Linked DNA regions of Oryctolagus cuniculus. The protein of the gene in region 2 interacts with the protein of the main gene of each other region in a biochemical or structural test. Links are inferred from orthologs where the notes say so. Each region holds a gene or a part of one and is shown on either strand. Other genes may lie near its edges. The genes, in order: USP51, histone H2B type 1-B and UBR7.

Evidence for each region.
Region 1: the proteins of histone H2B type 1-B (region 2) and USP51 form a complex in vitro, tested with the Homo sapiens proteins (2 studies listed by BioGRID, with this or other methods). The link is inferred for Oryctolagus cuniculus from reciprocal best matches to the Homo sapiens genes H2BC3 and USP51.
Region 3: of the proteins of histone H2B type 1-B (region 2) and UBR7, one has a biochemical effect on the other in vitro, tested with the Homo sapiens proteins (2 studies listed by BioGRID, with this or other methods). The link is inferred for Oryctolagus cuniculus from reciprocal best matches to the Homo sapiens genes H2BC3 and UBR7.

Annotation. Positions count from the first base shown.
Region 1 is NW_027208318.1:13,024-15,658, forward strand, and holds part of USP51 (ubiquitin carboxyl-terminal hydrolase 51), read right to left. Parts: coding exon 2,080-2,635; 3' UTR 1-2,079.
Region 2 is NC_091436.1:153,352,380-153,355,252, forward strand, and holds histone H2B type 1-B, read right to left. Parts: upstream 1,330-2,873; 5' UTR 1,002-1,329; coding exon 621-1,001; 3' UTR 565-620; downstream 1-564. Other genes in the region: histone H2A type 1-B, read left to right, coding at 1,330-1,722; histone H3.1, read left to right, coding at 2,352-2,762. UniProt on the Homo sapiens protein: Core component of nucleosome. Nucleosomes wrap and compact DNA into chromatin, limiting DNA accessibility to the cellular machineries which require DNA as a template.
Region 3 is NC_091451.1:38,186,885-38,190,640, reverse strand, and holds the start of UBR7 (putative E3 ubiquitin-protein ligase UBR7), read right to left. Parts: upstream 2,661-3,756; 5' UTR 2,461-2,660; coding exon 2,311-2,460; intron 273-2,310; coding exon 139-272; intron 1-138. Other genes in the region: EKC/KEOPS complex subunit GON7, read left to right, coding at 2,714-2,921. UniProt on the Homo sapiens protein: E3 ubiquitin-protein ligase which is a component of the N-end rule pathway. Recognizes and binds to proteins bearing specific N-terminal residues that are destabilizing according to the N-end rule, leading to their ubiquitination and subsequent degradation.

The DNA.
Region 1 (2,635 bases), on a different chromosome or scaffold from region 2:
TACAGCAGAATCACAGTATAATAAAGTACTATCACCAAGGTATGGACAAAGTACTTTGGAGGCACAGTGAAAGGGATAAAGTGGGGGGAGAGTAACAATTTTCCAACTTGTACCTGCCTCAAGCATCCAAGGAAGGCCCCAGGAAAGTCATCTGTTAGTTGGGTCTTGAAGGAGAAGTAGAAGCTACCAGGTGAAAATTAAGAAAGGGGCCCTGAAGGCTGGAGCTCAGGGACATAGGTAAGGCCAGGTAGTTGAGGAGCTCAGGGAACCCGGCATGAGTGAATGGAATAAGGAATGAGTGAAAGGATTGCCAAATACAAACCCACAGCTATACTGTTGAAATTAAGTCTTATCTCCCTGTGGAATGGGGAAGAGTAGTAGGTCCTCAGATACAGGCCCTTGCCACTTCCTCAATCAGGCCAGTAGACTCAAACACGAAAGTCAGCACTTTGTAGTTGTGCTCTAATTTGTATAAGCCTCCAAATTACCAAAAGCCCCTCTACAGAAGCTAAGAATTTGTATGAATAATGTAGTTCTAAATAGGAGAGGCTCTAATGTTTCCATCCTTCTTAGATGCAGTTGATTCTACCCAAGTAGCTCTACTTTTTAGGAAATCAGATGGGGTGAGGAATCTGAGAAAAGAAAGGTGGGCTAGTGTTCAGACCTTGCATCCATCTCACAATTCAATGGTAAATAAGGTTTAAAGTGTCTTTCCAAGTTGTATTTAAATATCAACATAAAACTCAAAAATATAAATATATTGACAATCCTTTTGCTATTCCTGCCTCTTCTATTTACTTTTTATACCCGTCTGTATTTTAATATGCTTACATAAAAAATAAAACCTTTTAAACTGTTTAATACTTTTTATATTTGAATATTTTTGTTCTATCATTTGTCAATTTCTATGTAAATGTTTTTCTTTTAAAAGTTTTAATTTTATTTTTATTCTTATTCAAGCAGTTTTCATGTAATTGTCTCAAATTGAACTTAAGTTTCTTTTTCTATTTTTACAACTCTATTTTTTCTTTAAAATTTTAAATTTATAACAAATTATCTTGAGTTGTTCTAAACTTCTTTTTTAAAACATCACTGTAGAATCTGAATTTTACTGCATTCTATATTTTGAAAGTTTACTTTTATCATGTGGTAGATCTGTTAATCTTTGATCTTTCTATATGGATACTTTATGCTTTCATTTTAAAATACCCATTTATATTTTCCTTCATTTTAAAATTAAAATGTAAGATTTCTCTCTTTCTTAAAGTGTTCCTTTCTCTTAATGTTTTTGTAAATTTTCATTTTTAACCTTATTCTTTGTTTTACTCATTTTACCTTAAAACCTTAAGAATTTCTAAATCCCCTGCTTTTAGACATTACTTTAATAATTCTGAAGCTCTCTTAAATTAAAAAAATATGTTTTTAAATTTCTTTTAAAAATATTTAACATAAAAGTTTTTCAACATGTAAAAATGTTTCTTTTAAAACTTTAAAAAATTGTTTTCTTCTTCTTAAATGTTTTGCTTTTAAAGGTTTTTAAATTCACTTTTAAAATATTCTCTGTTTTGCAAACTATTTGGCTGGTCAACCACAGTTGGAATGCCAATTATGAAGCTTTTTGCTGATGAAGGAATACTACTCTCTGACTTCCCACAATATTTTTGCAGAAACAAATGACATTTAGTAGTGTCAGAACATGTCTATTCCTATCCTTCCCCACCTAGACAATTTTTTTCATCCAATTATACTTCATGTGACCATTTTCAACCTCTTCACACCCTCTTTCTTAAGACTCAATTGTCACTACTTAGTATGCATTTTTTACCCCAAATGGTCACTAGTATTCATTTTTTCCTCCCACAAACCCATAGGTAATAATAAAATAGGTTCTTTACATCAAAGTCCTGGTTGTCATTTAGGTCATTGTCATTGTCCAGTCTAGATAGGTTTCTGTGTCACTTTAAGAGCTGCTCATTGTTATAAGGATATTATAGTCATTGTCTATTCCAGGTAGGTTTGTGTGTCATGTCAGAATCCTCGCTTAATCATTTTTTTTTTCTGGTTAAAGGTCTGGTAAGACTAGTCTTTCTCCAGACCCTGTTTGTGATAGAACAGTAAATATCCTTCACTGTAGAGTAAGTCCTCAATGGTAGCCTTGGTGATGATCGCATCATCACAGCTGAACCACTGGTCCTTTTGTTGACGGATAAAGCTGGTATAGTGGCCACTTTCCAAAGTTCCATGGTGATTAATCACTGCAAACAAGGAATACTTATTCTCATTGGACACACAATCTGTTGATGGCTGACACTCTTTCATTCTGCTCTCTTTAGTAGAGGCCAAAAATGGAGTCATGTCCAGCTCCAAGGGAAAGGAGATAAAGGTATTAATTTTACGCCTCTGTTTGCCTACATGTTCAAACCGCTTGAGGTGAAAACAGGCCACCATGGGTAATTTCTTCATTGTGAGCTGTTTGGTAGATTCCTGGTAGCTTTGGCAACTACTGCATTTGATTTTGGCACTGCTGCCCAGGTCCTCTGGCCTTGTAAACCACTGGAGGCAGTCTGTGAGTGAGGGGATTCCTGGTATGTGGTCAGCTCTGCTCATTGTGCTGTCAGCCATCTCTGTATTCTGG
Region 2 (2,873 bases):
CAGTGGCGCGCGAACCTCTGGGAACCACTCCAGAGTCGCTCTAAAGCCACGGCACTGGCCAACCTCCGCCCCGACGCGCCCTGGCCCCTCCCCTCAGCCAGTGGCTGGCCGCGAACCAGGAAAGGCGCGGGATTCAGATCGCATCCTGACTCCAGCCAGTATCAAGGCTCCATTCTTGAGAAAAATCCGCCCCATCCAATAGGTGATCCATGGATTTCTGAAGACTCAAGGACTGCTTAGCCGACGTGATTAGTGGCTACAGGTAGGTAACAGGGAGAACTGCAGGAATTTCACTCCATTTCACTGTCGAGGAGCTGGAGATGTTAGAGGGGGCTCTTCAAAGCTCATGCGAACCCGAGTTCACGAAATGCGCATCTCCCATCACATCGCGAACCCCAGTCCCCGACCCCGACCAAAGTGCCCTAAGGTTACTCAGCGCCGACCTGCACGGGATAAACACGCGTTCTGGGGTCGTCACTAACGCCAGCCCTAACACCCGACCTAAACCCACCTCAACAGGAGCAAAATACAAGGACGTCGGCCACAGCTCTATTTGTGAAAGAGTTGGTGGCTCTGAAAAGAGCCTTTGGGGTGAGGGGCGGCGGCGCCAATTCGGGAGCTCACTTGGAGCTGGTGTACTTGGTGACAGCCTTGGTGCCCTCGGACACGGCGTGCTTGGCCAGCTCACCAGGCAGCAGCAGGCGCACGGCCGTCTGGATCTCGCGCGACGTGATGGTCGAGCGCTTGTTGTAGTGCGCCAGGCGCGAGGCCTCGCCGGCGATGCGCTCGAAGATGTCGTTGACGAACGAGTTCATGATGCCCATGGCCTTGGACGAGATGCCGGTGTCGGGGTGCACCTGCTTGAGCACCTTGTACACGTAGATGGAGTAACTCTCCTTGCGACTGCGCTTGCGCTTCTTGCCATCCTTCTTCTGCGCCTTTGTTATCGCCTTCTTGGAGCCCTTTTTGGGGGCGGGAGCGGATTTGGAGGGTTCAGGCATTGCTTTTAATATTGGCTGAGAGACTAAAACAGACTCAGTCTACAGCTGATTAGTGATGACAGGCCGGAGTGCATATATTTATAGTCCCGTAATTCAAATGAGGGTTTGAGACTTCTCACTTCTGATTGGACAACAAAGAAATTTTCTCTAGGGGGGTTGTTTATGCAAATAAGGTATCCGGGTTGTCTTTTCCTATTGGGCAGAAAAGGCGAACCTATTTCGACCAATAGGATGACGTACTGTAGTAGCCCTGCGCTGCTTATAAAAGCACAGTCTTGGCGGGTATGGTTTTCTTTACTTCAGATTGCGAAGCGTGTTTGGCTGTACCATGTCTGGGCGTGGCAAGCAAGGCGGCAAGGCGCGCGCCAAGGCCAAGACCCGCTCCTCCCGGGCCGGGCTCCAGTTCCCCGTGGGTCGCGTGCACCGCCTGCTGCGCAAGGGCAACTACTCGGAACGCGTGGGCGCCGGCGCCCCAGTGTACCTGGCGGCCGTGCTCGAGTACCTGACGGCCGAGATCCTGGAGCTGGCGGGCAACGCGGCGCGCGACAACAAGAAGACGCGCATCATCCCGCGCCACCTGCAGCTGGCCATCCGCAACGACGAGGAGCTCAACAAGCTGCTGGGCCGCGTCACCATCGCGCAGGGCGGCGTGCTGCCCAACATCCAGGCCGTGCTGCTGCCCAAGAAGACCGAGAGCCACCACAAGGCCAAGGGCAAGTGAAACCACAGTAAAGACGACGCAACTCTCGCTTTGAAATACCCAAAGGCTCTTTTCAGGGCCATCCACTGTTTCACAAAAAAGCTGCTAACCCTGACTGGAATTAGTCCTTCCCATGGTGATAGCGTTAGCGCTTAAGAAAACTGTGGAAACAAGTGAAACGTGTATTTATTGTGACGGATGAAAGGCCACACAGTGACGGGGGGTGTGTCAGTCGGGAAATAGCCCCCGAGGTGCAGCTGTTTCAAACGTAAAACGCGTTTTGCCTTAAGTCAGGGCACCTTTCCGTGGCTCAGTGTTTATCGGGCGCTATTAGACGGCAGGCCCAGGTAATTAGGGATTTCGGGGTCCACGCTAGGGCCTGTTACTGAGGTAATCTCCCTCCACGGTTAGGTACGCTTCTGAGATGGAATGATCCAGATGTTAGAAAACGTCTACCATCCCAAACGGACAGTGGATGAATCCGGCCAATCAGGTTGTCTGAGTGGACCAATCATCGAAGTTCCTCCTTTAGCCAATGAGTTTGTCGCGCGGATTTTTTGAAAATCCGGAAGCCAATCACAGTAGTCCTAACGATATTTAAAGGCAGCTCTGTCGCCGCAGACAAGAAGTTTGAGTCCCACCGGCGCGAGATGGCTCGTACTAAGCAGACAGCGCGCAAGTCAACAGGCGGCAAGGCGCCGCGCAAGCAGCTGGCCACCAAGGCGGCCCGCAAGAGCGCGCCGGCCACGGGCGGCGTCAAGAAGCCGCACCGCTACCGGCCCGGCACGGTGGCGCTGCGCGAGATCCGGCGCTACCAGAAGTCCACCGAGCTGCTCATCCGCAAGCTGCCCTTCCAGCGCCTGGTGCGCGAGATCGCGCAGGACTTCAAGACGGACCTGCGCTTCCAGAGCTCGGCCGTCATGGCGCTGCAGGAGGCCTGCGAGGCCTACCTCGTCGGCCTCTTCGAGGACACCAACCTCTGCGCCATCCACGCCAAGCGCGTCACCATCATGCCCAAAGACATCCAGCTGGCGCGCCGCATCCGCGGGGAGCGGGCGTGAATCCTGTAAGCTTATCGGATTCCAAAAAGGCTCTTTTCAGAGCCACCCACAAACTCACTTGAAAGAAGTTGTAATGACGTCTGGGTGAGGAGTGTCTCTGGGCTTCGTTTC
Region 3 (3,756 bases), on a different chromosome or scaffold from region 2:
ATGTTTTATTACATGAACAATTATATTAAATTTCACTAATGCACAACACTTTTGGATGAAAACACAAGATTAAGAAAAAAGTACACTTGGAAAAGAATCTAAACATTTAGAAAGCATTCGGGAACAATCTCTATTTACCTTTTTGTGTACAACTCAAATAGTTTATGACTTCCGTGACATTCATAACTGCAAGCTAGGCAAATTCCTGCTGGTTCTTCTCCCTCTGGGGTGCAGGTACTACAAGCATATAGTGCTTGTCTCTTTACTGAGCCCTGACAGCACCAAAATAAAAAGGAAAAAATGAATTAATGACAGAGCATAGTTACTTAATACCTATACTAGGTTCTGAAACAGAATGAAAATTCCTGTGGGTAAGATATTCCTTTAAAAACCACAGTGACAGCTGAGAAAGTTTATACAACGGAGTTCCAAAACACCGTTGTGTGTTTCATATCTATATTAGTGCTTGTGTTCATCCAATTTTTTCTTAAAGTCAGAGGAAGTATAAATGTGTCAATCACCTGTGAATAGTTTGTTCTGCTTAATCATTTAACATATGAAAATGTCAGAGACAGTAAGTAAGATCATACTTTCAATTTTGGAAAATGATTGTAATTACACCAAGGAGAAAAATCAATGCATGCCAAGACTCTTTGGTTATTAGGAAATGCAGGTTGAAATAGTTAGAGATGTAGGGTCATGATGTCTGCAATCTATTTTCAAATGGTCCAAAAAGAAAGCAAAGAGTATAACACACAAAAGAGATGGGCCAGCATTGTGGGTAAGCCCCTGCCTGCTCCCATATCTGATCTGAGACCCAGCGGCTGCACTTCTGATCCAGCTCCTTGCTAATGCACTAGGAAAACAGTGAAAGATGGCCCCAGGGTTCCCACTCACATGGGAGACCCGGAAGAAACCCTGGGCTCCCGGTTTAGTTATGGCCCAGCCCAAGCAGTTGCTGACACTCATGGAGTGAACCAGTGGATGGAAGGTCTCTCTCTCTCTCATCCTCTCCGTTAACTCTTTCAAATAAAAAAAGAAAAAAAAAAACTTAAAAAAAGGAGAGAAATAAAACAAGTGTGGCAAAATGTTAAGCCACCACTTCAAAGACACCTGCATCTCCTGGCAGAGTGAGTCCTGGGTGCTCTGCTCTGCTCCAGCTCCCTGCCAACGTGCCTGGCAAAGCAGTGGAGGATGGCCCACGTGCCTGCATCCCGGCCATCCACATGGAAGCCACAAATAAAGCTGTGGCCTCTTGGCTTCAGGGCGGCCTAGTAGAGTTGCAGTCACTTAGGGAGTGAACGAACAGATGAAAGATCTCTCTCCGGTCTTTCAAATCTTTTATTTACAAAAAAAAAAATAGTTTCAAAGTAAAAAGCTGGAGGAAAAACGACGAATCTCGTGGCGTCTCCGTGCGATGACCCCCCTCTCAGAGGCGGGAGGGCGGCCCCTCAACGTCAGAATCGTCCTCTGTGGAGCTGGGTGTGGGGACAGGCCTGCACACAGGATTCGTGCAAATTCCCCTATGTTTTACTATAAGAAAAGGAACGGATGAATTTCTGTTTTAGGAAGCTAACTGTATTTCACAAACAGCTGACTTTTGTAAAGACTTAGGATTTTTTTTTTCCTAAGTACTTCTAGCGATGAGCAAAGGTTTAAATGCGAGCCAGCGTCTGGGGCCATCTCTGGGTGCCGGGTTGACCACGGTCAGCTCGGTCCGGTCAGCCAGGACAAGGGGTTTATGAGCTCAGTCCCTACCACGGAACGACTGCCCGGCGCTCACGCCAGCCCCTGCCTGGGTCACCCTCCTCCCACCTTGTCCGTTCCCTCCCGGCCCGCGCCTAGACGTCCATAACGAGGCCAGCACGCACGACATCACGCCCCCTGCGGTCCTGGTCCAGGCCAGGCAGACCCTCTTCCCCGGCCGGGACCACCCGCTGTCCCGGTTCCGGCCTTTTCCCGGCGTGGGGCCCAACGCCGACAGCCGCGGCGAGGAGCCCACCCCAGAGCCAGGGCGGCCTCCGGTGACGGCCCCGCTCCGCACTCCCGGGAGGGGTCCGAGAGGTCGCGGAAACCAGCCGAGGCTGCGAGGGCAGGGGCCGCAGCCCGCGAATCCTGAGGAGCCCGACGTGGCCCCGGGGAGAGGGAGGCCCCCGCGGGACGCGGGCTGCGGAGGGACGGGCAGCTGGGCCTGGCAGCGGGGCGGCCGCCCCGGGGGAGGCGGCAGAGCGGGCAGGACGCGGGAGAGTCGGGCCGGGAACAGGGGGTTCCGCCGGAGCCCCAGGGCAGAGGCCCGGGTCGCGCGCCCACCTGCGAGTAGGAGCACTTCTCCGAGTCGCTGCCGCCCAGGACGGCGCACGCCTCGTTCTCCAACTCCTCGTCCTCCTCGAGTACGTCGACCAACGACACCACGGGCTCCAGCTCCGACTGCCGCCCGGCTGACTCCTCAGCTCCGGCCATCCTCAACTGTCACCTGGACCGCAGCTCGGTCCCGGCGGAGGCGGGAAAAGCGGCCGCGAGGGGCGTAGCCGGAGGAGGCGGGGTCTGAGCGCCAAGAGCCAATCCCTAAGGCGGAAACGAAGGAAGGAGGAGGAGCGACTTCCCACCAACGGAAGTGGCTCGTCTGCCTTCTCCCGCCCGCGCTGGCCGAGGGCTGGCTTCCGCTTCCGGGTCACGCTGCTTTGTGGCGCGCTCTTGAAGCTCCGCGGTCGCCATGGAGTTGGTGGGAGAGTACGTGGGGCCGGACGGGCAGCCGCAGAGGCTGCGGGCGCCGTGTGAGTTGCCGGGTGACGCCGACCCCCTCGAGGGCCTGCTGGCGGGCGCGGCCCAGATGAGGGAGCTGGTGTCCGAGCTCTTGGGCCCGCTGGTGCAGCGGGAGACGCGGGACCGGGTGGCGGCGGCCGGAGACGAGGCCTCGGATGGTGAGCTCTGAGAAGGTGCTGGCGCGCCCGAGGGCCGGCGTGGAGGGACGGGGGCCTTGGGAGGAGGAAAGGGGTGTCTAGAAGTTGTTGGCGCTCGCCGCCCCGTTAGCTGGGCTGCCGGCCGCCTGAGCGTTTCCGCGACCCCCCCCCCCACCACGTTGGGGTCAGGATTTATTTTTCTGTAGAGGAGCTTCAACTACTTGGTTTCCGGTGGTGATAATAAATGTAACACTAATAAAAATAACGTAGCTGTTGGCTCTGATCAGAAATCGAGCGCAGGCGTTACGGACGTGAAGAAAGTGGAGGTCTTGGTCAGTGTAGGCGGGGTGTAAAATGGCGTACCCGCTGGGAAAACCGTGTGCTTCCTCAGAAAGCTCGTGGGAGACGGCGCGGTGTGGCTGCCAGCCCTCCGAGAGGCTCGCGCCGAACCTGGAGACGTCCCCAGCGGCCTTGCGCACAGCTGAGGCGTGGAAGCAAAAGATGGCCAGCAGCTGATCAGAGCCACGAGTAGGCAGGGGTGGCTGCACACAGAGGAGTAGTATTCAGCAGTCAAAAGGAACGAAGCGTTGATACACGCCACAACGTGGCCAAACCTGGACACCATGCAGGGTGAAATACGCCGGCACCAAAGGCTCATGCTGTGTGCCTGTATTTCTCTGAAATGTGCGCCATAGGCAAATCCACAGAGACGGGAGGTGGATCGGCAGCTGCAGGGGCTGAGGGGCCGCGGAGAGGAGCGCTCGCGGGTCGGGGGTCCCTTTTTGGGGTGAAGAAAGTACTCGGGAATTAGATGGTGGTGATGGTTGCACGAGCTACTAACACGCACTGAACTGTA